7 linked regions of the Canis lupus familiaris genome follow. The protein of the gene in region 2 interacts with the protein of the main gene of each other region in a pairwise test. Links are inferred from orthologs where the notes say so. Each region holds a gene or a part of one and is shown on either strand. Other genes may lie near its edges.

What was found.
Region 1: the proteins of MAPK9 (region 2) and LNX2 interact in binary tests that used the Homo sapiens proteins (3 or more experiments, as listed by UniProt). The link is inferred for Canis lupus familiaris from reciprocal best matches to the Homo sapiens genes MAPK9 and LNX2.
Region 3: the proteins of MAPK9 (region 2) and ARRB2 interact in binary tests that used the Homo sapiens proteins (3 or more experiments, as listed by UniProt). The two-hybrid records come from large-scale screens. The link is inferred for Canis lupus familiaris from reciprocal best matches to the Homo sapiens genes MAPK9 and ARRB2.
Region 4: the proteins of MAPK9 (region 2) and LNX1 interact in binary tests that used the Homo sapiens proteins (3 or more experiments, as listed by UniProt). The link is inferred for Canis lupus familiaris from reciprocal best matches to the Homo sapiens genes MAPK9 and LNX1.
Region 5: the proteins of MAPK9 (region 2) and ARRB1 interact in binary tests that used the Homo sapiens proteins (3 or more experiments, as listed by UniProt). The link is inferred for Canis lupus familiaris from reciprocal best matches to the Homo sapiens genes MAPK9 and ARRB1.
Region 6: the proteins of MAPK9 (region 2) and SHMT1 interact in binary tests that used the Homo sapiens proteins (3 or more experiments, as listed by UniProt). The two-hybrid records come from large-scale screens. The link is inferred for Canis lupus familiaris from reciprocal best matches to the Homo sapiens genes MAPK9 and SHMT1.
Region 7: the proteins of MAPK9 (region 2) and WDR62 interact in binary tests that used the Homo sapiens proteins (3 or more experiments, as listed by UniProt). The two-hybrid records come from large-scale screens. The link is inferred for Canis lupus familiaris from reciprocal best matches to the Homo sapiens genes MAPK9 and WDR62.

What each region holds. Positions count from the first base shown.
Region 1 is NC_049246.1:12,133,556-12,137,778, reverse strand, and holds the end of LNX2 (ligand of Numb protein X 2), read right to left. Parts: intron 2,819-4,223; coding exon 2,683-2,818; 3' UTR 501-2,682; downstream 1-500.
Region 2 is NC_049232.1:1,736,426-1,739,925, reverse strand, and holds part of MAPK9 (mitogen-activated protein kinase 9), read right to left. Parts: intron 2,852-3,500; coding exon 2,788-2,851; intron 1,777-2,787; coding exon 1,705-1,776; intron 38-1,704; coding exon of another isoform or gene 33-37; coding exon 1-32. UniProt on the Homo sapiens protein: Serine/threonine-protein kinase involved in various processes such as cell proliferation, differentiation, migration, transformation and programmed cell death.
Region 3 is NC_049226.1:32,043,136-32,047,155, forward strand, and holds the start of ARRB2 (beta-arrestin-2), read right to left. Parts: upstream 2,801-4,020; 5' UTR 2,702-2,800; coding exon 2,679-2,701; intron 1,407-2,678; exon of another isoform or gene 1,264-1,406; intron 1-1,263. UniProt on the Homo sapiens protein: Functions in regulating agonist-mediated G-protein coupled receptor (GPCR) signaling by mediating both receptor desensitization and resensitization processes.
Region 4 is NC_049234.1:46,944,372-46,948,354, forward strand, and holds the start of LNX1 (E3 ubiquitin-protein ligase LNX), read right to left. Parts: upstream 2,801-3,983; 5' UTR 2,069-2,800; intron 1-2,068.
Region 5 is NC_049242.1:23,399,682-23,403,181, reverse strand, and holds part of ARRB1 (beta-arrestin-1), read right to left. Parts: intron 1,977-3,500; coding exon 1,841-1,976; intron 860-1,840; coding exon 775-859; intron 322-774; coding exon 249-321; intron 1-248. UniProt on the Homo sapiens protein: Functions in regulating agonist-mediated G-protein coupled receptor (GPCR) signaling by mediating both receptor desensitization and resensitization processes.
Region 6 is NC_049226.1:41,434,465-41,438,739, forward strand, and holds the start of SHMT1 (serine hydroxymethyltransferase, cytosolic), read left to right. Parts: upstream 1-1,475; 5' UTR 1,476-1,645; intron 1,646-2,491; exon of another isoform or gene 2,492-2,638; intron 2,639-4,275. UniProt on the Homo sapiens protein: Interconversion of serine and glycine.
Region 7 is NC_049222.1:117,439,456-117,442,492, forward strand, and holds the end of WDR62 (WD repeat-containing protein 62), read right to left. Parts: intron 2,969-3,037; coding exon 2,857-2,968; intron 2,748-2,856; coding exon 2,606-2,747; intron 2,524-2,605; coding exon 2,463-2,523; intron 2,280-2,462; coding exon 1,632-2,279; intron 1,117-1,631; coding exon 959-1,116; intron 854-958; coding exon 587-853; 3' UTR 501-586; downstream 1-500. UniProt on the Homo sapiens protein: Required for cerebral cortical development. Plays a role in neuronal proliferation and migration.

The sequences.
Region 1 (4,223 bases), on a different chromosome or scaffold from region 2:
TTACTGTGTCTATATGAGAATGTGGATGTTAGCTGAACCTCTTGTGGTGACCATTTCACAATATGGGTAATTCAGTCCACCATACTCTATGCCTCAGATTTTACACAGTGATGTGTGTCAATTATTTCTTGATAAAACTGGAAAAAAAATGCATAGAAAAAGACTAACGGGAAATCCACCAAAAAATAAAAATTAAAAAAAAAGCACCATATTTTATATCAGCCTATATATCCAAGGTATTATCACTTCAACATGTAGCCTGGTAGTATTTCTGGTATTCAGTGGCCACACATGTTGGACAATACAGGTCCAGAGGTAGTGCATGGGCAAAACTTCCAACAATCACACGTGTTATGCACATAAGAGGAAGGATCAGAAGATGGACTTAGGATTCTGAGGTCCAAAGCTTGGACCACTGAAATGAGGACAGAGGGATCGTGAACAAACAGAGATCACATACTGAGTCAACTTCTGCTACTCAAGAAAAGAGACAATGTCACTAGTATGGAAAGGATGACTTTTATTTCCATCCTGATTATCACACCATTATTTAAACACATTTGAAAATCCTGAAATAATTTAAACCAAAGGCACAGAACAAATCAAAATATTTGAACTATTTATGCTTAAGATGAGAAAATTCAAATATTTCAACAGTAATAATAAATTATGAACAAGTTTCCATCACCAAATATCATTCTGACCAAAAGCTACCATGTTTTGTAATAAAACCAAATTAGCTTAGGCTGAGTCTGAGATTTCCATGATAAAAATAATGTCGAAAAAAGTGTCTTCTTTCAAAATACTCGTTATATCCCCAGGTTCAATGGAAGTATTTTATATATAACAAAGTAGCCATTAGGATATTTGTTGATGGATGGCCACTCCCCAAGAAATGACACATTCTTACAAAATGTTTAAAAAAATAGCAAAGTAGGATAGAAAATTCTATTTGGGGAGCAGGGGAAAAAAAAAAACTTGTTCCATGTCAATTAGAATATCAAAGCATTTCAATACCAAATTGCTTCAAAAGCCAATCATCACATAACAGTAATATACTGTATGGGGCATTCCACTGTATCTTCATTATATGTTGATCATACAGTGTAGCTAAGGGGTTGAACAAATCAGTAGCAATTATTGTTGCCGTTTCTTATTTATTCAAAAGAGACAGGCTTAAAAAAAATTACTAAGAAACTAACAGGAATAATCAGTGACATGCTATAGACACGATAAATCCTAGCAATGCAATTGCTAGTTTGAAAATCAAGTGGTCATGCTTCATAATATACTGTCATATTTTTAAAATACATTCTCTGATAATCAATACCATTTATTACAGAGGTCACTTGTAAATGAGCTCAGATTCTGAACTATATTTCTAAGTGAAACTTTTTCAAGTATGGATAATATTAATAAGGTAAAGATATTTTGATCTTACTTCTTTATGTATTCTTCCAAGGGACAACCAGGTGGAATGAAGGGCTAACAAAGGGGGTTGATGGTACTTTTCAAAAACAGAAAAATAAGAAGTAGCCTAGTGACCAAGAACTGACTGAAAGATATTAATATCTAAAACCTAATATTTTAGATAAAAATCCAGGACTTTTCAGTCTTTTTCTTAAAATAATTAAGTTCACAAGAAATAATGGGGAAAAAATTTAGGATTTCTAGAACACTCAAGGCTTTTCTTGGAATGAAATAAAAAAGGTATACCTTCTCCTACACTGAGCTGCGATACATATGAATGTGTACTGAATAGCAACACAGTTTTATCTTTAGTTTAACTGCATAAATCACAAAAAGCATGTCTAGCCAAGACTGCTGATAAGTACAATACAAACTCTAGAAAATGAATTTTAGCAAAAACTGCTTCAAAATTTCCCTGCATAACAAATCATTCCTTTGGAAATGAATCTTTAAATGCTACTGGACTTGTGCAAGTAAGTGTGGCTTTTACCATCTCCAGCACTAAACTGTAATCACCTCCCAAATGCCTTTGTCACTGGAAAACGTGATTTTTTATTATCTAGTATTCTAATTAATGATATATTATTTTTTAAAAAGCTCTTTAGTAGTGTCAGACTTCTGTCTTCATCACCTACAAGTACTAAGAGAATAAAGGAGAAATAAAATAAGTCCAGAAAAATCACTTTTTACAAACAGTATGAAGTTTTGAAATGTTGGCACCGACAGGAAAAAAATGGGGAAGGGCTACCAGCTAAATTTAAAACATATCCATTTGTGGCCTTGGTTGAGGCAGGGGCAGAGGAAGCTACCGCTACTGGCTTCACAGACACCAGTGCTGGGGCATGGAACTCATTCTAGGACTTGGAGGGGAAATAAAGAACTGCCTGAGGTCCTCTCATCCAGCTGGCCAGGTCACAGTTTGCGCGATCTTCATTATTTCATTATTTTAGGTCACATTCTGAAAACGGGGAGTCTGGATTTTGAAAATAAGAACTTACAAGGGTTAATGAAAGACTGTTTCCAAGCTAAAAGAAATGTGGCTAACTTGAAGAAAGCCATTTTAACAACAACAAAAGGACAATCTGAGTGGTTCTGGGCCCTGCAAACACCAGCTGAGTCTGGCACTCCTAACCAGAAACACAACACAAGGAAAGAGATTTCTTTCCAAAGTCTAAAAAGGGAAGATGTTTGACTAGAAACCAATTTCAAAACCTACACCAGGCTTCCAGGCCAGCAGATAACTGTCAGAGTGACTTTGTTCCTTTGCTCCTTCAACATGGGAACGAGTGCAGAATGGCTCATGCCCACAGTTGACAGGCCGTTGACGGCTACGATCATATCCCCACATCTGGACAAAGACAAACAGAAATGGGCTGTTAACTATTTTCATGGGATTAGAAAACATTATCCTAACATTGGTTTAGCATGAAATTCACAGTTTCACTTAACCATTAGCTGTCAATGGTAAGGGTCTATTTTCTACTTTGTGAAACATCTGGGGCAATTTTTAAGCCTCTATTGGCCTTCCCTTGCCAATCAAGGACACCCATGGGCCGACCTCTCCTCTAACTGCTGGGTGATTTTGAGGGCAAGCAGAGCAATTTTCATGTAAGCATAAGCAAAATATAATTAGGAGAATAAATGTGCTGTCTCTTGAAGGAATACTAAATAATGCATTTGGAGGGGGGTTGCTTATTATTTTGACTATTCTTTCTCTGTTCATTCTTAGAGCTCATACATTTGAGGGTTTAATTACACTGAGAATAAGACCCATACCTCCTCTTCTTTCAGCTACTGATGCTTGTCTTCTGACAGGATTATCACAAACGGATGATACATCTGAAGGTCTTTCTCTTCTTTATGATTTTTGCTCTTTAGTTTGTAATACTAATAAGTTATTTTGTTGTTAGTTCCTTCAATTTTTTTGGAAGTAGGTGGAATGCAAATTATAAACTAACTGAGACCCACACTGGTTGAGTAACTTAGCTAAGAGAATGGTTAATTCATTTTCCCCCTACTCTTTCTGCCTAAAATACTGATTTTTTTTTCACCCATCTCGGTCAACATAAGACTCATCAGGAGCTTACTGACCCTGATCCACTTTTTACAAGACTATCTGGATGGTACTTTCTCTTTGTGAACAGTATACATTCTCCATCTGTGCGGCACTCTGTCTAGTGTGTCAACATTTACTTTTTAAGAGTTGGCTCTTCCCTCAAAAACTAAACACTAAGAATCTACATAAATCCATCTCCTCTCACTCTGTAGAATCTCTTGATCTAACATCTCGTTCTTCTCCCAGTGCCTGAGCTTTGATAAAGGAACGAGGCTGCACAAGGTTGGCTGAGGACTTCCTGCCCCGCAGAGGAATTAGCAATCCCAGCTCTGTAGAGATAGTCCGGGGTGTGAACCCAATCAACCATATCCAGCTATTTGGCTGTGGGCAAGTTTCTTAATCTTTCTGAGACTTAGTTATCTTGTTTATCAAACAGGAATAGCAACATCACTTACCTCAAAGGGCTGTTAAGAAGATTCAATAATATAATCCCAAGCGCTTAGCATGGTTTCTGGCAGCTATCACATGTTCATTCATCAACTATTTATTGAGACCTTACTATATACTGTTACAGCGGTCAGGAACATAATAATAAATGCAACACATCCCCCCACCCCCAATGGAGCTTGCATAAATATAATGCTAAGTAGACATAAGTGCTGTGGAGGAAAAATAAAGCAGAGTCACCTAATGACAG
Region 2 (3,500 bases):
GGAAGGAGTGGCATTGCTACTTACTGCTGCATCTGTGCTAAGAAAACCAAATATAATAAAATCTGAGGCACGACACTGCTGCAGGTTCGGGCAGTGAGACATGAGGCCTTTCTCAGCTCCATGCTTCTGTGGCCCCCCAGCCTAACTGCTCGTACTAACAACCCATGAGCCTGCTACACGTGCCCAACTTTTTCTGGAGTCTCTCTTTGGGTCCAGTATTCCAAAAATTTCTTGTCTGTCCCTACAACATTCTCCTTTTCTTCCTAGTGGCTAAACATCACATCTGTGCATGTGTATAATGTTTGAAAAATATGCTTCTTTAAAAAAGATATTAATAGAAAATTGCTGCATCTATCCTACAAATATAGGTGTCACAAAAGGCTGAAGCCCAAATAGGGTTCAACGGTCATCAGACATTTCAGCTATAATCATCAACACTTTGTCCAAGGGAAAAAACAGGAACCTTTGAAGAATTCTTTTGTAATATAAATGGAGTGGAAAGAAATCAGAGAGGGAGACAAACCATAAGAGGCTCTTAACTCTAGGAAACAAAACTGAGGGTTGCTGGAGGGGAAGTGGGTGAGGGGATGGGGTAACTGGGTGATACACATTAAGGAGGGCACGTGATGTGATGAAGCACTGGGTGTTGTATGCAACTGATGAATTATTAACTCTACATCTGAAACTAATGATGTACTATATGTTGGCTAACTGAATTTAAATTAAAAAAAAAACTGTTAAAGACTGTATACAAACAAAAAAAAAAGGAAAAAATTTAGTGGCCTCTTGTTCATTTTATTTTTGTTTTCTACATCCCCAATACTGATGTTTTTTTTTTTTTTTTTTTTTTTTTTTCCAATACTGATGTTTTGATTTCTGAAGTACACAAAACCATGCCATTACCGACTGTCCATATTTTAGGCTGGTTTGAGCAAAAATAAAACAGTCGAGCTCTTGGAGGCCAGTGCTTGCATTCTTAAATTTGTGCCTGATTAACCACAGCACCTAAATCTGTGCTAAAGTTACATAATCTCTAGATGCTTGACACATATGTCATGCTGAATATAAAATTCAAGAATGAGTACACGGTGCAATCTGCACTTCTGTGTGCGTGTGCTCCTGTGGGGGTGGAGGTGGGGGGTGGCAGAGGATGTGAAGTGAGAAGATAAATACAACTCAAAGGAGTTCACTTAGGAAGCAGGTGGGATCCTACTGACACATGTGTTAGGTCTCTAACAGTCACACGGTGTGAACAGATTCCCAGGCAGACCAAGTACAAATACAGGAGAATCACATGAATGATTTTCTCAAAAGAAAACCAAATTCCATTTTGCTTAGATTCATGCTAATTTTCTTTAATCACTGTGTGTATGTGTGTGTGTGTGTGTGTGTGTGTGTGTGTGTGTGGTGGTACAAAGAGGGTCACACAAATTGGTAACATTTTAAATCAGCTCCCTCATCTGTAAACTGAGCTGACAGCAGCAGGGACAAGTGCAGAGCAGGGATGTCTATAACACAGTTTAGTGCCTGTTACATCAGTAACCCGTTAGCTGCTGCTACCACGACACACTGAGACAGGAAGACCATCTACCTCGGGGAGCTTTCAGGCCCAGTGCTGGTCAAGCCAGCATTTAGCGCACTGCTACCAGTTTGGAAATGGGGTTGAGGGGGTGCTAAGATCAAACTATTAAAGCAATCACTAACCTGAAGGCTGATCTTTCACAACACCATTCTTGCTTCTTTCTTCCCAATCCAGCACTTCTTTATAAATCAGTTCTTCAAATGGAAATGCAAGTTAAAAGGCTTCATCAGTTTCTTTGTGTCTCTGAACCCTGCTTTCTAATCAATCAGAACCACTCCAAGGGCACTGTGATGCCTTATTTTTAATTATGGTATACAGTTAATTCAATAATATCATCTGGTTAACTCAATAGTATCACCTACAAAAACCAAAACACCCACGTCTTTAACTCAACTGTTAGGGCAGCCAAAAACGTAGGCAGTTCTGAACCCACAGGGGGTTTTATAAGGGGCTGGAGACCAGCAAAAGGGCTCTCACAGAGCATTTCAGAGTACTGGATGCTTTCACACTGTTTGCACATGTTTCTCTCCATTGTTACTTGGGATTCTCCAAAAGGAACTGATATCTATCTATGGGTGAGAAGCCCCTCCAGACTGGCCAGAAATTAATCCAAGTTCCTCAGTCATTTCTTGGCTTCAACCTCCATTTCCTTGATTCTGATTTGTGAGAAAAGCTAACAACATACTAAGGAAGCATTAGGGGTTCTTAAAATTTTGGCCTTTGTGAATCAAGATGAGAACACTGCAAACATTTCTGGAGGCCTATGAGCCAACCGTTGGCCACAGGCTGTGCCTGTGTGTGTCGGCCTGCTGAGCATGTGTTCATGCAGGTCATGGCACTCTGGACGCCCCGGAGCAAGGAAACATTATCTGCTTGGGCAGGGCACATTGCCACCTTTGACCTGCACTGACCATGGTTCTCAACTACTACTGATTCTGCTTCTTAATGGAAAATTGTTATTTGACCTCCTGATTATGGGTTTAGTTTATTGTGGGTTGTTTGGTTTATCTTACAGTCTTCAGAAGCAAACAATATGCAATCCATACCTGCTCCTCACTAATTGTTATCTGCAAGTTTCTTCTGTGCTAGGGATTGTGAAGAGATGGGCTGAGAGGGGCTGCATGGTCCCTAGCTCCTACCCTAGGAAGGCTACTGCTGAGAGTAAAGTGCCGCAAGCGAGTGGCAAAATCAGCTCTGTTCTTTACCTTTCCACTCTTCAATTGCATGCTCTCTTTCTTCCAACTGGGCATCGTAAATCTGAGGTGGTGGCTGAAAATTAAATTACATATGAAGTCAACAGTTAAAACCATAACGAGGCATGAAGACACTAAAATCACCAGGGAGAGTCTAATCTATGTATCATGTGGCTTTCATTTCATATGTAGCTTTTTAAAGATTTCTTTATAAGTGTGATATTACATCATTTTCAGAATCAAAATAATTAGAGGGAAATTAGCCCCCCCCAAAATGGAGCTATTATGGTCCTCTTAATTATAACATGACCTCAAGACACCCTAAAGGCATCTGTCCAAATGTAACTATAAAATCAGTAATTTGAGCCACTTCCTAGAGACCAGTCCTGGATAAGGACATGCCAGCTCAGGTTTACAGTTCATGTTAGAGCCCCTGTACCCAATCCGCAGCTCACATTGGGCCATCCCAAAAATTTCCTTAAAAATCACATGCTTATTATAAATGGGACTTTCATATGAAACGTTATGTTTCTGTGGTGGTTAAATCTACAGGCCAAAAAAAAAAAAAAAAAAACTAAAAAAAAAAAAAAAAAATCTACAGGCCAGCCCTAAAATGAGCCCACCCCTATGCCAGTTATCTCGCTTACAGCCAGAGATCACCCATGCTGGTGCTGCTAAGGGAAAATGCGCCTGAACACTGAGCTCGGAAGTGGAACTCGCCCAGC
Region 3 (4,020 bases), on a different chromosome or scaffold from region 2:
CCCCCTGGCCCCGTTCCACCCTTACTAGCTCCCCTCCTCCTACGGCAATGGCAGGAACCACCCAGGCTCTTCTGAGTGCAACCCCCACCCCCCAGGGGGCCTGAATGGGCAGGTTGTAGGAGTGTCTGTCTCAGACCTGGCCCTGCTTCCATCTTCTCCGGTCTCCAGCTCCAAAGATGGCTGGAGTACCCAGAAAGGCAATGGCCCTGCTTTTGCCCCTGAAATGGTTTCTACTTGTAGGCACTACTTACGTGTGACCCTACTCCATTAACCTCCAACTGTCCCCATCCCTGATCCCAGCGGCCTCCGAGCCTCCTTGTCTTTGAAGGCTGAGCTCAGATATCACCTCCTTTAGAAAGCAAATCCAGCCCGGACCCTGGTTACTCCTTTTTTGGGGGAGGAAGGGGTGTTCCTGTTACACTGCCTCGTGTTTTCCTGGTGGTGTGACAACATGCACAGGCTGTGAGCTGTGGATCATCTGAACATCTGCCTCACTAGGTAGACGATGCTTCATTAGAAGCTTTATTCAGTTAAGCACCCCCAGCACACTGCCTGGGGGCGGGCTGCCACTGCCATGCAACCGGACGATAGAGATGATGACATTGGCTGGCATTTGTTGGGTGAATGCCCCGTGCTCAGCACTGTTTTAAGAGCTTCGTGTGTATTATCTCATTTAATATTCTTAGCGACCCAATGACGGAGGTCCCAATGTTCCTAGTTTCCAAGTGAGGGAACCAAGGCATGGAGGACTGAAGAATTGAGCATAAGACCCCAGAGGGTGTAAATGGTGGGACTCAGATGACCAGAGGCAATGTGGCTCTGAGCCCATGCTCTTTATCGCTAAAACTTCATATTCTCCTGTCTCTGCAATCGGCATTAAACTTGTTTAATTGCCAGAGCTCCCTGCCCTCACTCCCTGCCCCAACACCCAGCCTTGGAGCTGAAACAATCTCAGCTTGGGCTCTACCCACTGCTGAGAGGGTAGGCAAGTGTCTGGTGACCCCTATGTTCTGGCCACCTGCAGGTCGGACCTTCCCCATCCCAATCCGCTATACCTCAGTGGCCATCACAGGGCAGAGTCCTCGGATAGTAGACAGTGAGGTCCTGCCAACTAGGCCATCCTTCCTCCAGCCGCCCCCCCCCCCCCGCCCCCCGCTCCCCACCAGTTCTGCTCTAACAACTTCACTTGCTGCTTCTTCCCAGAAGGCCAGGCTGTCCAAAGGTCATGAGGCAAAGGGTATGGGGGTCCCCAGGTATCCCAACCTAATGAAGCAGAGTAAACGTTGGTAATGATGGCAGCTACAATGAGCACCACCTCTTGTCCCAAGCTGGGGGCGAACAGCTATGGCTTCATCCAGCTCTCTTTCCCTTTTGCTTCTAGTTTTCCTTTTTTCCCAGGGTTTCTCCTATTAGGAAGAAAGTCACTGGACTATAGTTTTGGGGTAACTGCCCCGGAGCAGCTGCAGGGTGACCTGCTCTTAGGAGCCTCAGCTGGCCAAGGAGGCAGAGTGTGGGGGTGCCCAGAGGTGCCTAGTGAGGGGGCTGGAAGCAGCAGACGTTCTCTCCATTTCCTGTGGCCCAGAATTAGATGGGGGTGGCAGGAATTATGCCAAGTCAGCAGTACCCCTCTGGTCCATCCATCCTCCTCCCTGAACCACATAACGGAAATTGGGGGCCTCCCTCAACTCAGCAACTTCCCCTTTCTTGGGGGTGTTATAAGCCCTAATCCAGGCCAGCAGTCCTGCCTCTGATCATCTCTTTCTGATATGACTCGACTTGAGGCTCAGAAACCTGGGTTCTCCTATTCTATGGGTGGGGAGCGGTGGGGCTGATAGGATAATGTTTTGCAGAAAAAGAGGCGTCTGGGGACCAGGGCCCAGTTCCTGATGCCTTCTGGATAAAGGCATAGTGCCCCAATCTTTTCCTCCTTTGCTCCTGCTCCCCAGGGACTCAGGCATTCACCCACTATCCCCCTGGGGGTGTTGGCCCACAACAGGAAGTGGATTTTGCTAGAGACCAAAAAAGAGAACTCAGGGTATCAGTGGAAGGAAGGAGCCTCGATTGCACAGAAAACATCCGGGGAGTGGATGGCGTGCCCAGGGCAGATACTGTCTCCCCTCACCTCCGGGAAGAGGGGTAAGGCCCCGAATGGAGGTGGGGGGTCGTCATGCACTCTGCTCCCCCAAGATGAAGCTGTTGCTCCTAGCAACCTGGGGGAAGGCAGAAGTTTGGAAGCAGAGCCACCTGGCCCTTGGGACAGCCCGACCGCCTGTGGGGTATTGGCCAGGAGGCTCTCCCGCAGCTCGGCACGAGTCTAGGGGGGATCCCCTCCCAGCATCCAGCCTTCCCATACCCGACCCCTCGGGGCGGCCACCTGCTCCTCCTTCCTCCGCCCCTGCATCGCAGCCTACACCGGAGAACTCGGTTGTCCGGCCCCCACATCCCTGCGGGAACCCAGACGCCGCTTTCCTGCTCCCCTCCAGCCCTCGCCGTCTGCAAGGGCCCCACATGCGTCCCCCTCATTATCCTCGAGGACCGACGCGCGCGGCCCCAGATGGCTGTCCCCCCGGGGACCCGGCCCCCCCGGTCCTCTCCCCCGGTGTCCTGGTCCCAGGACCGCCCCGGCCCCCGCCCCGCGCCGCCGCCCACGTCCCGCCGCGGGGCCCCACCTCCCTTACCTGGTGCCCGGTTTCTCCCCCATGGTGCGCGCGCCCGCCCGGTTCGCGGCTGCTCGCAGCCTCCCCGCCTGCCGCCGGGTGCCTGCTCCTCCCCGCGCCACTGCGCACGCGCGCCCTCCGCGCTCGCTCCCTCCCCCGCCCCTCGAGCCCCCTCCGAACCGGGGGAACCGGGGCCCGATGCGTCAGCCCAGACCGCGCGCGCCGCGCCGACTGGCTCCGCCCCCGTGCCCGCCCCGCCGCGGCCCCGCCCCGCGCTCCCAAGGGGTCCCTCCGGCGCGCGCGGTCCCCGGTGCCCGCTCTGCCCGCCCATCTCTCCGCCCCTCCACGCCCCCGGCGGGAACCGATTGGGCTCCCCGGAACCGAGGTGCCCGCCCGCCGGGAGGGCGAGGGCCCGGTGATTGGCTCCCTGCGGCCAGGGCGCCTCGGGGGTCCCCTCCCCTTTGTTTGCTTTCTCGGAGGCAGTGGGGGCTACGCGGGCGGTGGAAGCGGAGGAAGGAGCCCCGGCGCGGTGTGGGGAGAAGGATGCGGGGATGCACACGTGGGGGAGGAGCCCCAGCTGCGTGATGCTCGCTCCGGCGCGCGCGCCGCTCACCTCAAGGCTCTCAGCCTCCGTCGGCTCGTCCGTCCGCTTCCTTACTGTGGTGTGTCAGCTCCCTCTGCTGTCTGTCCCACATCTGCAGGGTTGCTTGCCTGTGTTCTCTGACTACCCATCTCTTCCATCTGCTCTCATCACAGCCGGCATCCGTCCATGCACCTATGCTCCCGTCTATGTGTGCATCCGTCCATCTATCCATGCATCCATGCCTATTTCGTGTTAGTCACTGTTCTAGGCGATAGGGACACAGACACGAATTCCCAGGGCCCCTGCTTTCTAGGACACTTTGGGAGACACATAAAACAGGTCTTATGATCCCAAGAACACTAAAGTGGAGGTATAACCCAGAAGGCAAAGCAACTACCAGCGCTTAACTGGGGCAAGGGCGGAGGGAGGGTACGCAGTCCAGAAGAGGAGACATTTGAGGACAATATTTCTAAGGGTGGCCAGAGGTTGAGAAAAGGTATTGCAAAGCCACAGAAAGGCAAGTCGTGTCCTCTTCCGAAGAGTTTGTGGGGTTCCACCGCAGGAGAGGTGAGGTGGAGAGGGGGACTGGAACAGGGTGTGAAGGATTCCGCATAGCAGGTGAAGGGACAAGGTCTTCTGCGGAGCAGGATGTGTGGATCCAGTTAAAGAATGGCACAGTGAGATTTCTCCTTCAGGAGGATAATCCTGGGCAATGTGGACGGTGGAGAGAGTGGGGCAAGGCTGTCGAGGCTAAAACTAAAGAGGAGAAGAGAGGCCAGG
Region 4 (3,983 bases), on a different chromosome or scaffold from region 2:
ACACATACGTACGTCTATGCTTCATCTATATCTGTATCTCCATCTACATGTAATGCATATGCTAGGTTGGAATCGTGTTTTCCAGACTTTCCAGAACACAGGCACCCAGAGGCTGCTTTGGGCGGACAAAATTTGGAGTGGCTGCTCCAGAAGCAGGCTCAGGGTCTGTCTGCGACAGGCTGGCACTCTGATGAGGTGCAGAGGAGAAATATTCTCCTTCCACTCACCTAGTGAAGGATGGAGAGATTCCTGAATAAGTAGATATCCACGCGGTGCTGTGTATGTGGCTGGGGGTGAAACTGGGATTCAAAATCACATCGGCGCAGCTCCTTTCACTATCTTCACTGAGATAGTCCTTCACTACCTGCCTACACAACAGGGCCTCTACTGGGAAACGTCTTCCCGCCTCCCCCAACAGGCCCAGAATACCTACAGATGATCCCTCTGTCTGTGGTCCCAGGGCATTACTGCACCGCACGTAGCTGGTTGCACACAACTAATTCACAATGTTTGATCAAATTGAGAGTAGAGCTCCTCTCATCTGCACTCCTAGTATCTCCCATGGAAGCAGGCATGGGGTAATTAAATAGTATTTTTGAGCGCTCATTACGTGCCAGCAAAGGCTTTACATGCATTCTCTCATTTAAACCTTAAGACAACTCCATGAACGAGGTGATACTATTATTCCCATTTTGCCTTTCAGAACACTGAGGTCATAAGAGTTAACTGGATTAACTCCAGGGCACAGAGCGAGTGGAAAATAGTACCGAGATTCAAGTCTAATTCCCAGAATGTGCTCTTCGTCGCCTGTTCTGTTGTCACCATCTTGCTCTGAATGTTCCATGAGCAAATTCCTACTGTGGGGAGTGGTCCCAATCTGAAAAGCTCCCCCTCAGTCAAAGTCCCCTCTTTATGCCAAGCTCAAGTGTGAAGCTCCTGTCCCGTGGAGAGTCTTCTCATGTACGACCTCCACCCTCGGCCCCCACAGTGCATTCCTTCAGCACGCCTTGGCCACATGGTTTGCACCGTGCTCCGATATGTGGCCCAGTGCTGGGCACCCAGAATGCAGCTTATCAACATTTGGTGAACTGGATTCGGCGCCCAGGGATGGATGTAAACAGCGATAAATAACAAGGTGGCATATCGTACTGGATACTCTATTTCTGGATTTTCTAGGCGAATGAGTTCCAATTTCTAAAATCCTATCCTCCCATCGGATCATTGGCCACAGAATATGTGGCAGAGAATATAGCCTGGTATTTTGGTTTGAAGAAGCACCTGGCTGGCTCAGTCTGTTGAGCATCCAATTCTAAATTTCGGCTCCGGTGGTGATCTTGGGGTCATGCTCGGCAGGGAGTCTGCTTGAGGATTCTCTCCCTCCTCCCTCGCCCCTCCCCATGCTCTTGCTCTCTAAATAAGTAAGTAAATAAATAAATCCTTAAAAAAAAAAAGGTAGAGTCACCGTTCTACTGCAAAGAGGCAGGAATAGAGACAGGATGTGCCCTCTGTTACTCACCTACCCACATGTTGGCAGGCAAGTCAAATTTCCCTGGACCTAAGTCTCTCCGTGAGTAAAACTGCAATGGCAATACCTATTTCCACTACAGAAATGAAGCAAAATAGGTGAATATGTTTCGGATACTGATGAGGAATAATGTTATATGAATCCAATTACTGTTAGTGGGGTTGTTTATGTTTTTACTGACCTGTTGGACCAGTAAAAAACAAACAAACAAAAAACCCCAACAAAATAAAAGAAGCAGTTTTTAGTTTTGAAAATGAAGGAAGAAGTTTCTTGTGAAGAGTAGCGCAATAAAAAAAAATCAGGTATTAAAAATGTAGATATCCTGAGGGCCTTTCTGGAGTGTTTTGAAAAAGACATACCTAGACATTCTAGCTTTTGGCTGTCTTCAACAACTTGGAGGGGCGGTGTGGTGGGTGCTGGGGGGTGGGTGGTCGGGCTAAGGGTGGGAGGCTGGGCTGGGAGAGTTAGGAGCAAAGTGTCTCAAATCGCAAAGTGTCTCAAATCACATGAGATGTTCCCTGGAGGGGGAGGCGGGACTCTTACCTTTGCTGCACGGTGAACCGGTTCCCAGTCGTGTGAGGCCTCGGGTGGGGGGCAGTCCGCTTGGGAGCTGATCTTCTGTGGCCCAGGGAGATTTTCTCTCTCTTTCCTGTGTCTCCTCTTCCAGACAGGCATGAAAACCATTCGGCCTTGGAGGTAATCAGCTCACCTCCTGCCCCTTTTGCAAGGCTTTGTGTCATGCTGATCCATGAACCCGAGAGCAGCCTCCCAGGAGCTTCCAGGGAGAGCAGCCCCCCCACCGAGCAGCGCTCATTAGCATCAGTGACTAATCTGTTCTGGTCTGGAAGGGGCCCAGGCTCCCTTGACCGTCCCTGTGCTCTCAGGAAAAGCCAGGATCCTTTTGTTCACCTTTCGGCCTGCCAAGTCAGTCCTACCGCACCCCTGAATGTTGTTTTCCTGCAGGCAATGGGAAAATGAGCTGGGAGCCAGAGAAGGGAAATCAACAAGGAAGTAAACACAGGGTTCACTGCACCTTCAGGTCCAGGTCGTCCCCAGGGCCTGGGACATCCTCGTGCTGGGACCAGTTCCTCAACAGGCAGGGGCTGCTGCCTGGACGGGCCTCAGAACCCTGGGCGTCTTCTTATTTTTAATTATGCAGAGAAGCATGAGCTGAAATGGGTATCAGACAAATCAAGGCATCCCGACTCGTTCCACGGCCTTGCCAAGACTTTAAAAGATTTTCCATAGGCAGCATCTCTTATAACGGAACACGGCCTGATGTTTGTCAGACAAAGAAGAAAAAGATGAGCAAGTTCATGGCTGATATTAGTTAAGACCTTTAACTCTAAAGAGACAGGACTGTTGTTTAAATAAAAGGTAAAAAAAAATAAAATAAAAAAAGCAGTTTTTATTTTTGAAAACGAAGGAAGAAGTTTCTCGTGAAGACTAGCACAATAAAAAAAAAATCAGGTTTAAATAAAGGTTTCTCCTACTTACTCGTGAACAGCGGGGTCAGCATCCGCAGCCCAGCAGCATCTCTGCCAACATCTGTCGAGGGCTGACTGGCTGCAGGGTCCTGTGCCATGGCCTGACCTGCATTATTATCTCATTTACTTCTCCACATAGTCCTACAGTTATCATTCCCATCGTATAGGCGAAGAAACGAAGGATTCGAGAGCAAAGTGCTCCGGCCAAGCGCTCCAGAGAGGTGTGAATGGAAAAATTGCCCTTTTGGAAGTGTGGCCTTCCCCACCAGTCAGCTTCAGGACTTCTGTTCACTGGCATCTCTGGCGATGGCCAAAGAGCTTGCTCCCTGGGGCTGTGAGTTCGATGCCATCTTTATATAACTTGTTTGTAGCACACACCGGGCTGGGCACCTCCTCTTGTCTCAACCACAGTGGGGCTGCTGGCTGCTATAGACCCGGCTCCCCCCTTGGGGCTCCTATTTACGCACAAGGAAGTGGGCTACAAATCTCTGGGCCTCTCTGTGTGCTTTGATCATGGTCTGATTGTGAGTATGCCCTTCTGGTTTTAGGAGCCTAACAGTTATGAGCTTCTTTTAATCAATAATCCAAGGGATGAATGACAAGGAGTTCACAGCCTGAAAACCTCTCCCTGGTGAGAAAAAAAAAAAAAAACACAAACCAGCACATGTGTTCCCAGTCCTCAGGTCACACTGCAACGTGTTTTGGTTTTATTGGCCTCCTCCTTACTTCCAATTGTTAGCATTTAGCTCTCCTGTGCCACGGCGGTTCCCCGGGACAGCTGGCCGCTGGTCAAAGGAAAGTAAAACCGTTAATTAGGAGACAAGGAGATGCCTCCCAGCGGGGTCAAAGTTGTCTGTTTTTGTAAATATAGGAGTTGCGACATCAGGGCAGTTGCTCACCCTTGTTACCCTGGGGTTGGTTTGGGTGGAGCTTTGGGGTGTCTGGCTCTGAGGCCACATAGGCCTTGAAAC
Region 5 (3,500 bases), on a different chromosome or scaffold from region 2:
TCATTAGGTCTCATTTGGTCATTCTAGTTTTAATGGGTCTGTCCCTTGACTGTGGCATGTATTTTCTTGTAGCTAAACCAAGCAGGTGTTTTCTTAAAAGGCTATTTGGGATGATCTACTCTGAGCGACAAGGAAGTCTGAGATCCAGCCTTCTGTCAGGTGGAAAAGAACCATCTGCATCTGTAACTACAGCCAGGGCTTCTCATTTCCCCACCCACACATCCAAGGATGGGCTTGTGCTCACTTACTCAGCCTCTTCCATGGCCACAGGGCACTTGTACTGGGCTGTGTTAAAAAGGCAGATGTCCGCATACTGGCGCACTGAGAGGGAGAGGGAGACAAGGTGGTGTGAGCCAGGACTGCAGCTCCCGGGCATCCCAGGCTCCCTTGAGTTGGGGATGTTCAGCCCCAAGAATGGCCAGAGTGCACTGGGAGATTGTTCAAGAGACCACCCTCATCTTCCACACAAAGGGTAGCCCGAACACACCTGTTCCCTTCCATCACCAAAGGTCTCCCTCAGGGACAGCTTTGCCCAGAACCCAGGGAACTTAGAGGGTAGGTGACTTAAACAGTAAACTCATTACCTGGCCAATGAGTAGCCTGTGTTACTAGCCTCAAAAGCCTTTCCCTTTGGCCTAGAGTAGGCCCTGGGCTTTCCTGCGGGCCAATAGTTATCTACAAGGCTGTTAACAAGGGGAGAACCTTCAGCCACCCCCAACCCTTGGGAGAGTTCCCTCTTGCTGGCCCCATGGGGTGGCCTTCCACCCGGGGTACCCGAGATCTTGATCTTCTTCACTGTCTTGTTGGTGTTGTTGGTGACGTGGACATTAACGCTGATGGGTTCTCCATGGTAATAGATCTGGGAGGCAGAAGAAGAGAGAAGGGTTGGACCAGAGGATACTAAAGCTCCAGAAAGATGGAGGGAGAAGAGGCCCCATCATATATCCTAGGGTTCCCCAGACTTTGGCCACTCTGACGTTGGCCTCAAGTTCATCAGCCACTTCCCACTGATGCTAAGTCACTGGGCATGTTAGACCAGTTCTTTGTCAGGATTTTGAAAGATAATTGAATGAGGAGGTGATATTCCTGGGCTCTAGTCTGGACTTGGTGACCAGAAATAATGAGAACACTAATTATAATAATGATAAAGAGGATGAACACGGTGTGACCTTGGACAGGTTGGCTAAGCCTCGGCTTCCCCCCATCTGGAGGACTTGGACTAGGTGATGTATCAAGTCCCTGCTGGCTTGGGATGCCAGGAATTCTAGACACAGGAGGGCCTAGAAGAAGCAGGAGAGAGAGGTGGGGAAAGACGGGCCTGCTCACCAAGGGAACTGGCTCTGAATCCTTACTGAAGGACCTCAACTCAAATCTGTGGCCAACACTTGCCCTCAGCTATCCACAGAGAGAGAGAGAGAGAGAGAGAGAGGCAGTGCCCACACATTAAGAGGGGGACGGGGTGCAGGAAGACGGCCGAGACTCAGGTCCCTTCAGGAGGCACGCTGACTTCTTTTTTTTTTTTTAATTTTATTTATTTATGATAGTCACAGAGAGAGAGAGAGAGAGAGAGAGAGAGAGAGGCAGAGAGGAGGCACGCTGACTTCTAAAGTCGATTGTATCCCTCAGGCTCATGCCCCACTCTGCCATTCCTTTAGGCCCCCAGAGGCTTCCCCACAGCCCCCTAAGGGATGTCTCAGATTCCCTGAACCCTGTGGTCTTAGGACTGGGGGCAGAAGCTCTTACCTACCCCAGGAGCCCTGGTGACCATGAGAGAACTGGGATGAGATGTCCCAGCCCCAGGAGAACAGCCCCCACCCCCTGCCAAGTCCAAGCCTCCTACCTCCTTATCCAGGGAAGCTTCTAGATGCAAGGGCTTGTCCGACATGAGGAACTGCCTGGTGGTCTCAGCTGTGGGCTGGGGGCCAGGCCTCTCCGGGGCATACTGAACCTTCCTGATCACCAGGCGCACAGAATTCCTAATGGAGATGGGCAGAGCAAAAGATAGCCAGAGTCACCTGCCTCCATCCTCCTTCCTCATAACCCTCCCTTTCCTCCTCAGGAGACTGCCATGGCTCCCCCGGCGTTACAATCCAGACCAAACTGCAGAGGTGGACACAGAGGCCTTGTCACCACCTGGCCCCACTCCATCCTCCCCCATTGTGTACACAGCCACCCCCACTTCCTCACTATCATCCTCAGTGGTTCATCTCGTCCTGTCTCTGCAGCTTTGCTTACACCGGACCCCCGCCTGCAATACTCTCCTCCTGCTTCTACCCTCATTTATTTCCTTCTTCAGGACCCAGCTAAATACCTCCTCTTCCAGGAAACCTTCCTGGATCAGCTCACTTGATCTTGTCCCGGTCTTAACTCCCACACCAGCGGAGCTGAACCACCCCATGGCAGTCCCTCATGTGGATCTGTGCCTTGGCAGCCAGCAGGATGGCGAGAAAGGAACTATGTTTCACTTCCCACATCCCTTACTTTACTTAATAGTGTAAGCTCCTTAAGGAGCAAAATTTTTATCTCAATTGTTCACTGCTGTGTTTTCAACATCTATGACAGTGCCTGCCATATAACAAATGCCTTCCAAATATCTATTAAATCAAAATCTGCAGAGGGACCCCATGAAAAGGTGGGGGCTCAGAGAGGTGACGGGGTTCAGTGAGGGGGTGTGGATTCAATCAGGGGGATGTAGGCCAGTGACAAGGATGGGGACCCAGTGAATAGATGGAGGCCCAGAGATGAGATGGGACTCAGTGAAAGGGACAGGGGCTTAGGGAAGAAACGAGGATACAAGGATTGGGAGGGGATGGGATCTGGTGAGGCAGTGCCTGCGATGTGCTGGGTGTGCCAGCATCCCCATTTCTCACCTGCACCCCCTAGAACTGGACAGCCAGGCTGAAGGTCTGAGCTTGCCCCTTACTAACTATATGCCCTTGAGAAAATTCACCCCTGGATCTCAGTTTCCTCATCTGTAAAATGGCAACAGTAGCAACACCTACCTCCCAGGGTTGCTGAGAGGATTAAATTAGTTCCTACATGTTCACCACCCTGAATAGTGTCTGGTCCTTAATAGGCCCTTCATAAACGATAGCTGCTATATCATTATCAGTAGTATCTCTGATGTGGACTTAAAATGTCACACTGGCATAGGGTGAAGGCAGTGGCCCTCAGTGTCGTTCCTCTTCCTTGCTCCGGTCAGGCCCCCTTCAAAAACCCACGAACCCCTATCTTTCCCCTGGTCTCAGGTCTGAAGAAGAAAAGGAAGACAGAGAAGCCAGGGAGAAGGGTCCCATCTCCCCACACCTTGGAGTTGCCTGGGCTGGAGATGGAGATGCTCAATACGCTCTTCAGCCGCCAGGTGGCAAACTCAGCCCACTCCCTAAGAAGCCGCAGTGCCCTCCCTCAGCCACCCTCAGCCAGGCTCGGTAGGAATGCGGGCGGCTGCCTGGGGAGGCAGGGTGCATCAGAGTGGGGGGCTGAGGCCAGCCTCGCCTCCT
Region 6 (4,275 bases), on a different chromosome or scaffold from region 2:
CAGCCTAGGGTGTGATCCTGGGGACCCTGGATCGAGTCCCACATCAGGTTCCCTGCATGGAGCCTGCTTCTCCCTCTGCCTGTGTCTGCCTCTCTCTGTGTGTCTCTCTCATGAATAAATAAATAAAATCTTAAAAAAAAAAAAAAGACACTGACAAACTGTTTTCTAGAGTGGTTGTACCATTTTACATCTCTACCAGTGATATATGGGAGATCCTGTTTCTTAGCTTCTCCAGAATTTGTCATTAGCACTGTTTTTAATTTTTAGCCATTCTGATTGCTATGGAATGAATTGTGTCATCCCCCTCATTCTTATGTTGGAGGATGACCCCCTCAATTTGACTGTATTTGGAGATAGGGTCTTTAGGAGGTAATTAAGGTTAAGTGAAGGCACAAAGGTGGGGACTTGATCTGGTAGGATTAGTGTCCCTATAAGAAGAGACACCAGAGATCTTGCTCTCTCTCCCCTTGTGCACACACACACCAAGGAAAGGCCATGTGAGGGCATAGTGAGAGGCACCCATATAGAAGCCAGAGTGAGAGGCACCCATATAGAAGCCAGGAAGAGAGCCCTTACCAGAAACCAAATTTGCTGGACGGACGCTTGCAGGGTGGGGAGAGAGATGCAGCTGAACTCTGAATATAGGACGGGCGATTGGGAATCTACAGCCAAGGAGCCAGGGTCAGTGGGTGGAAAATTAGTAAGAGCAAACACCAGGAGTAAGGGGATTCTGGCTAACCTGACCAGGCCAGGGGGATCTGACATCACCAAGGATGGTGGAGGACAAGGAATCCAATCAGATATGGGGGATTTGAGGGGCGGGGGGTGTTCTGGTTAAAATGACTTAGCTGAATTCTTCCTAAAATTGGGCAAGCGTGAGTAGAATTTGGTCCCTGAGAGAATCTTTGTCAGCTCTTTTCGTACACTGGGCAGACCCCTGGTTTTTAGGATTCTTAGCAAAGGCTAATATATGTTGAGTCCTTATAACATGTCAGTCAGATGCGATGTGAAGTGTCTCAGATATGTCTATTAGTCCTCCCGAGAGTCCTGTCAGGCAGATAAAAGTATCCCCAATTCAAAGTTGAGAAATATGAAACTCATATAGATAGGCTTCTACACAGAGTAATAGTGTCCGAATTCGAACCCAGGTTTGTCCTATGATCACGTGCTAAACTGTAAAAAGGGCAATGCAAATGTCAAATATAAGCAACAAGATTCACCCCTAATTCCAAACGCGCTGGGACAGGCCCTCTGCGGACACCCCGGAAGCCCCGCGCCTAGCCCGCGGGCGCCGCAGCGAAGGTCTAGCTCCGCAGCTGCACTGTGCAGCCTTACCCCGCGCCGCGCCGGGAGGGGCAGCCCCGCCCACCGCTCCGCTGCAGCCAATAGCGCCCGCGCTTCGGGGGGCGGGGCGCCCTCTGATTGGGCGCCTCCGGGGGCGGGGCCCAGCTGCCCGCAGAGGGCACGGAGTGGAGCGCGAGAGCCGCTGCGCGCCAAGCTCTGGGTTCCCGACTCGCGCGGCAGGTGTCACGTGGCGGGCACAGGGCCGGACGCGGGTCGGCGGGTCTCGGACTCTGCTCGCGGCGGCAGCAGCGTGGTCGGCGGCGGGTCTCGGGGGCGCTGGGCTGTGCGGGACCCTGTGCCGGTAGGTGGGCTGCTTCGGGTGCCAGGACCTCGGTGCCCCCGGCGCTCTCGGGGCGCTTTGTGGTGTGCGCCTGGCAGCCGCGCTTCCCCCGCGGCTCTGAGAGGCCGGAAAAAGTGAGCGGAGGGAGGGCGGCGAGCCCGGATGCTCCGGCCTGGTCACGGGCCGGTGCGCTAGGGGGTGAGGGCGGTCTTTGACTCAGACGCGAAGGCTGATTGCTGCTGGTTAGGTAGCTCTCCACTGAGCGCTTCTTTCGTAGAGCATTTTTTTTAAAAGATTTTATTGATTTATTCACGAGAGACACAGATCGAGAGCCAAAGAAGCAGGCTTCCTGCAGGGAGCTCGATGCGGGGCTCGATCCTGTGACTCCAGGAGGATTCTGTGACTCCAGAAGGCAGAGCCACCCAGACGTCCCTTGTAGAGCATTTTAAATTTAAGTACACCCCTTCACCTGAGAATCCCCTGAGCAAAGCTACAGGCGGAGCGCTGTCGCGTAGCCGATTTTACAGATGGGGAAGGTGAGGCTCGGAGAGAAGAGCCGACTTGGGCGCGACCCTGCAGATGGCAAAATGGCAGAGCCCGGAATCAAACGGAAGCTCCCCAAGCCTGCACTGTCAACCACTGCTTACAGGGTCGCGCTACTTTTGGTGTGAACCGAGCCCTGCGGGGGCGGAGCTGCGCCTGTTGTCTGCAGTCTGTCCTCCGTCGCCGCCCTCCCCCCGCCCCCCGCCCTCACTGTGCTGGGAGACAAACATTGCACTGTAGGGTTCTTGGCTCCACGCCCTGGCCTTCGAGGTCCTAGAAGTTAAGTGACCCTTGATCAGCTGGGGCCAGCACCAACATGTGTCTTTAATCAGGCAGTTGCTGGACTGGAAACACCAGTTCAGGTTCTTATGGAATCATTTTTTGAATTTCTTACCTGAGGGAACATGCACTGGAGGTGGGCAACCTGTGCTTTTATTTAGTGCAGTGTCGTGAGGATGTTTGGAACTAAAGGTAAACTGGACTTCAGATTCTGACTCTTTGTTGTAGGACCTTAGACCACTTAGCTCCCTGAGCCTCGGGTTCCTCCTCTGTAAGCTAGATAATGAAAAATCTGTGTATGGGACAGACCGATGACATTCAATAGGGTGGTTCCCTCCGGAGACTTCTGGCTGGTTACGCTTGTGTGACAAAGTCCTGGGGAAGATTTGGGGCCATGGGGAGGTTGATGACCTTGGCAAGTAAATTCAGGTCTGTTTCCCTGGGGTTGAGGTGAGGATCATGCCACACGTGAGTGACATGTCCCCCCCCACAGAAATATCCAGCATTAGAGGCACCTGGGTGGCTCAGTGGTTGAGCATCTTGTCTTTGGCTCAGGTCATTCTGGGGTCCTGGGATCGAGTCCTACATCAGGCTCCCCACAGGGAGCCTGCTTCTCCTGCCTATGTCTCTGCCTCTCTGTCTCTTATGAATAAATAAATACATTTAAAAAAATATCCAGCATTATAATGATAATAATAGCTGCAGTGAGCTGTGTGCTCCCAGGGTGCTCAGCCCAGGTTACTGAGTGGTAACAAAGATGGCCCAAAGGTCCCTCCATTTCTTTAATAACTGTACTAGATGATAGCTTTTGAGTACTTCCTCTGTGCCTGGCAGTGTTCCAAGCACTCTGTGTATGTCCGGTAGCTCATTTGGCTCTCCCTGCCAAATCAGAACGGTCTTCGCTCCTGGGTTTTATATGAGGGGACTGAGAAACAGAGGTGTCAGTAGCTGAGCTGCACATTAGGAAGTGGAGAGGCTGGCTTTAGCACAGTTTCCTTGGGTGTGGTCTTCACTGTTGGGACATGAGAGAGTTGGAGGGGTCCAGCTTGGGAGATGTTCACCATCTGCTCTTTTACATAAGGAACCCTGGTCTTCCCCTGTTGGGTTTCTCTAGTTGTTAGTTTCAGATTTCACAGGCAGACTGAGAAGTGACTCAAGACCAAGGTTTCTAGAACATAGTTTGAAACCTTGTAAAATACATCCTGTCAAGGTGAAGAATCTGTTCTCCATCCCTGCTCTCACCCTTGGTCCTTCAGTGTCATTTCTTGTGCCTCTGCTTTGTTCTCCAAGCTTCAGGCATGTGGGCCTGATTTCTGACTCTTGACAAGTCAAATTTCTTCCCATTTTAGGGTCTTTGCACTAAGGGCAATAAGGTGAGGAGCACCTTAGGAGGATAAGGTTTCAGCCCAGGTACTTTCGATGGCCTGGTCTAAAGAAGCCCTCTACCCGTTTATTGTCCTTATAGCAATCACCACCCCCTGACATTACCTTCTGTATTTCTTGTTTACTTGTTTGCTCCTCGTAAAAGCAAGGCCTCTGTCTTTTTTGACGTATATATTCTAGTAAGTTCCTTGCTCAGTGCGTAGGACATAGGAGCTCCTCAATAAATACTTGTTGCAGGAGTGAATGAATTCACTGTAGGCTGATAATAGTAGTAGAGTATAGATCTCCTAAATATCAAAAGCTTGTTTTGAACTGAATGTAGAATTACTATATGATCCTGCAATTCCACTTGGGGTCTTCACCCAGAGGACTGAAAACAAGGTATTTGTTCATCTTTGTGGCAGCATCACTTACAGTAGCCAAAAGGTGGGAGCAACCCACTTGTC
Region 7 (3,037 bases), on a different chromosome or scaffold from region 2:
TTGGCCTGGCAGTGGTGTAGCAGGTGTGTCCTGAGCCAGGGTCTGGCACCTGGTGACGGCAGTGGCTCCAGTACATTCTGGGGCACTGGTAAGGGGCAGAGGAAGGGTGTGCCCTCTCCTTGGGGAATAGTTAGGCCCCACCTTGGGGAATAGCAAGGACCACAACTGATCCCATAGTGGCTCAGCAGAGATGGGAGACATGGGATCCAGCTGTTGGGATCATCATTACTGCAGTTCCTGTATTTCTTGGGAATGTTGGTCCCATTGACGGAGTCCTGGAACAAGGCAGGGCACTGGGGCTGACATCCTCCAGGGGAGACAGGCAGGGGACAAGCAGGTGAGGGTACAATGCTGGGCAGCCAACACCTACGGCACACAAATTTCACCCCTTCCAGGGTTTATCCACCTGTATTCCCTGGGCAGTCCACCCTGCCCTCCTTCCCCGCATCCGCCTGAGGGAGCTCTGCGGATGCACCCTGACAGGCACCAGGAACCATTCCTCAAAGTTGTCAGTTTATTTGCTTCAGACACCGATTTCCTCTGAAGTGGCCAGGCTGTCTTGGGAGTCGGGGGGAGGCGCCAGCCCTCAGTGCCCCCGGGCCTTCCTCCGCACAGCCTGCACCAGCAGCTCTGAGTAATGTTCCAGCAGGGCGTGCAAGTCTGGGCTGGCCAGGGGGCACAGTGTCGGTGGGGAGGGGGAGCCCAGGCCAGGCTGGGCCTGGGGTGGGGCCACATCACTCCTCAGCAGCCAGCTGTTGGCCTCTAACTGGCTATGGATCCAAAGGAAGGTGGAGGCCAGCTCAGTCCGTGCCTGCCGCTGCTGATCAGTGCTCATCTGGTCGTTGGAGACCACCTGCGAGGGGTACCGACCTTGTCAGGGGCCACCACCCAGCCAGCTCAGGCAGGCTGTCCCAGGGAGCCCCCTGGCCCATGCCTCTGACCCCGGGGCTCGGCTCACCAGGTTGTAAAGGTCCATGGCTTCTTGGAAGGCAGTCTGCAGTCTGTGCACGATGGTGCTCACACTGCTTAGTTCAAGGGGAGTTGGGGGCAGGAACCTCAATGGCCCCCCAGGGTCCTCCCAGTGTCCAGGGCCGCCCTGGACCAGACTGAGCGCATCTGGGGTTAGAGGGGAGGGAATGAGAAAGACACCTCCGCTTTCCAGCTGGTCTCAGAAAGGCCAGGATGGCTGGCTGCTCTCAACTGCTGTCCCTCCGCCTGGAACACTTCCCTCGGTCCCCTGAGGCTCACTTTCCTCCCGCTCTGCTCAAGTGCCCTCCTTCTCCAGATTGAAGACTTTTCTCATTATCCTTCTCTAAACTGTAACCACTGCCTCCCTGCTTGTTCCCTAAGCCCTCTCTCTTATTTCTGTCCTTAGCACATACTCCTTCGTGACACACTAAACACTTTGTTTCATGTCTGGCTGTCTTCCCAGTTAAGGGGTCAATTCTTTGTGGTCTTGTTAACCACTGTGCCCCAATGCCCAGAGTCTAGAACAAAGCCCAACATGTATGAAGTGCTCGCTAAAGATTTAAGTGAACGAATGGTGCAGCCCCCGTGGCCAGGTCAAGTGCCCACCGTTGGAGCAAAGCCAGCTGTACAAGGGATGAGCCTTGCCTAAGAGTGGTACTCACCAGGGGCGGGCTCCAGGAGGGAGGTGACGCTGCCAGGGACCCCGGGCCTGGTCTCTGGAAGTGAGGTGCTGTTGGGGTGGGCAGGGGTGTTGGGGGACTCAGGGACCAGGAGCCTCGGGAGAAAGGTGGAACTGTGGAGCCCCAGGGAGCTTGCATCCACGGGGCTGGGGACTGGGAAGGTGGCTGTTGTGACGCTGGGCTGGGTGGCCACAGGATCCAACGGGGGAGGGGGCAACAAGAGCCTGTCGCAGATGCTTGACAGGGTCAGCTTCAGGCTGGCCCGGGCCTCGTGGTTGCCCCCTAAGGAGAGCAAGGCAGGTTCTCGGCCCTCGCTGTTAGAGCCCGGTGCTGCCGCGGTGGGGATGGCCTGGAGCTCCTGGCCCAGGGACACCAGTTCCCCAACGGAGGACGGCCTGGGGAGGGGCCTGGCCAGCTCAGCCAGCACGGGGCCCTCACTGTCCTCGAGGGAGATGCTGCGTGACATCTTGGCGCGGGAGCTCGCAGCAGCCGCCATGTAGGAGTGGGAGGAGGGGCTGTGGACACCCTGAGTCAAGCCTGGAGTGGGCAGGGCTATGGGCGTCAGAGGCTTCCTGTCAGCAGGCAGCACTGAGGAGGGGGCACAGGATGCCAGGCCTGAGAGGCAGGGGGCTGTAAAGGAAGCAGCCAGCTCACTCTCACACCCCAGCCAGAGAGCCAATGTGAGGGGCCACCCCAGGAGGCTGCAGGGGCTGAGTGGCCTCTGCCCATCCCTACTGCCCCATAGTTCAGATGGGCACCGGGGCCATTTGCTGAGATGCCCAGGGCTGTTTATCTGCAGATGGGGGCACTCACTCAGTGGGAACCAGGCCTCCAGTGTCTCAAGGGGCTCCTCAGCCTTTTTCCCAGTGAGGACCTGCAAGCACAACCAGGAGGTGGGGACAAGAAGGCCTCCTGCTCCCAGCCCTAAATCCTGAAAGAAGTGGCCCCATACTCACGCTGGTTCTGCCTGGGGAGGTGTAGCCAGCGCCTACTCTCAGAGGCTCTGCCCTGGGCTGGCTGCACCCAAGGTCCGTGAATTTGACCTCTGGGGACTTCACCAGGTGCAGGGGCAGTCGGGGAGGGAAGGTGTGGGTAAACCTGTGGGAAGGAAAGCAGGGGTTTGTGGCTGGCCTGGGGGCTCCTGAGGGGACACAGTCCTGTCCTGCGAGAGAGAGCGAGCTTGGGTAGGAGGGGCACCTGCTCCTACCTGGATGTTTTCTGGAGACGTGAGAGGAACTGAGCTGAAATGCTAAGCCGGGGATTGAAGAAGTCTTCAGCCTCAGGGGCCTCCAAGTCTCTCAGGGATCCATGGAAGAGCTCTAGAGGAAGAGGCCAACGGAGCCCTCAGAATCCCTCCAGCCGCCCAGCCCTGAGCCCAGGAAGACCCA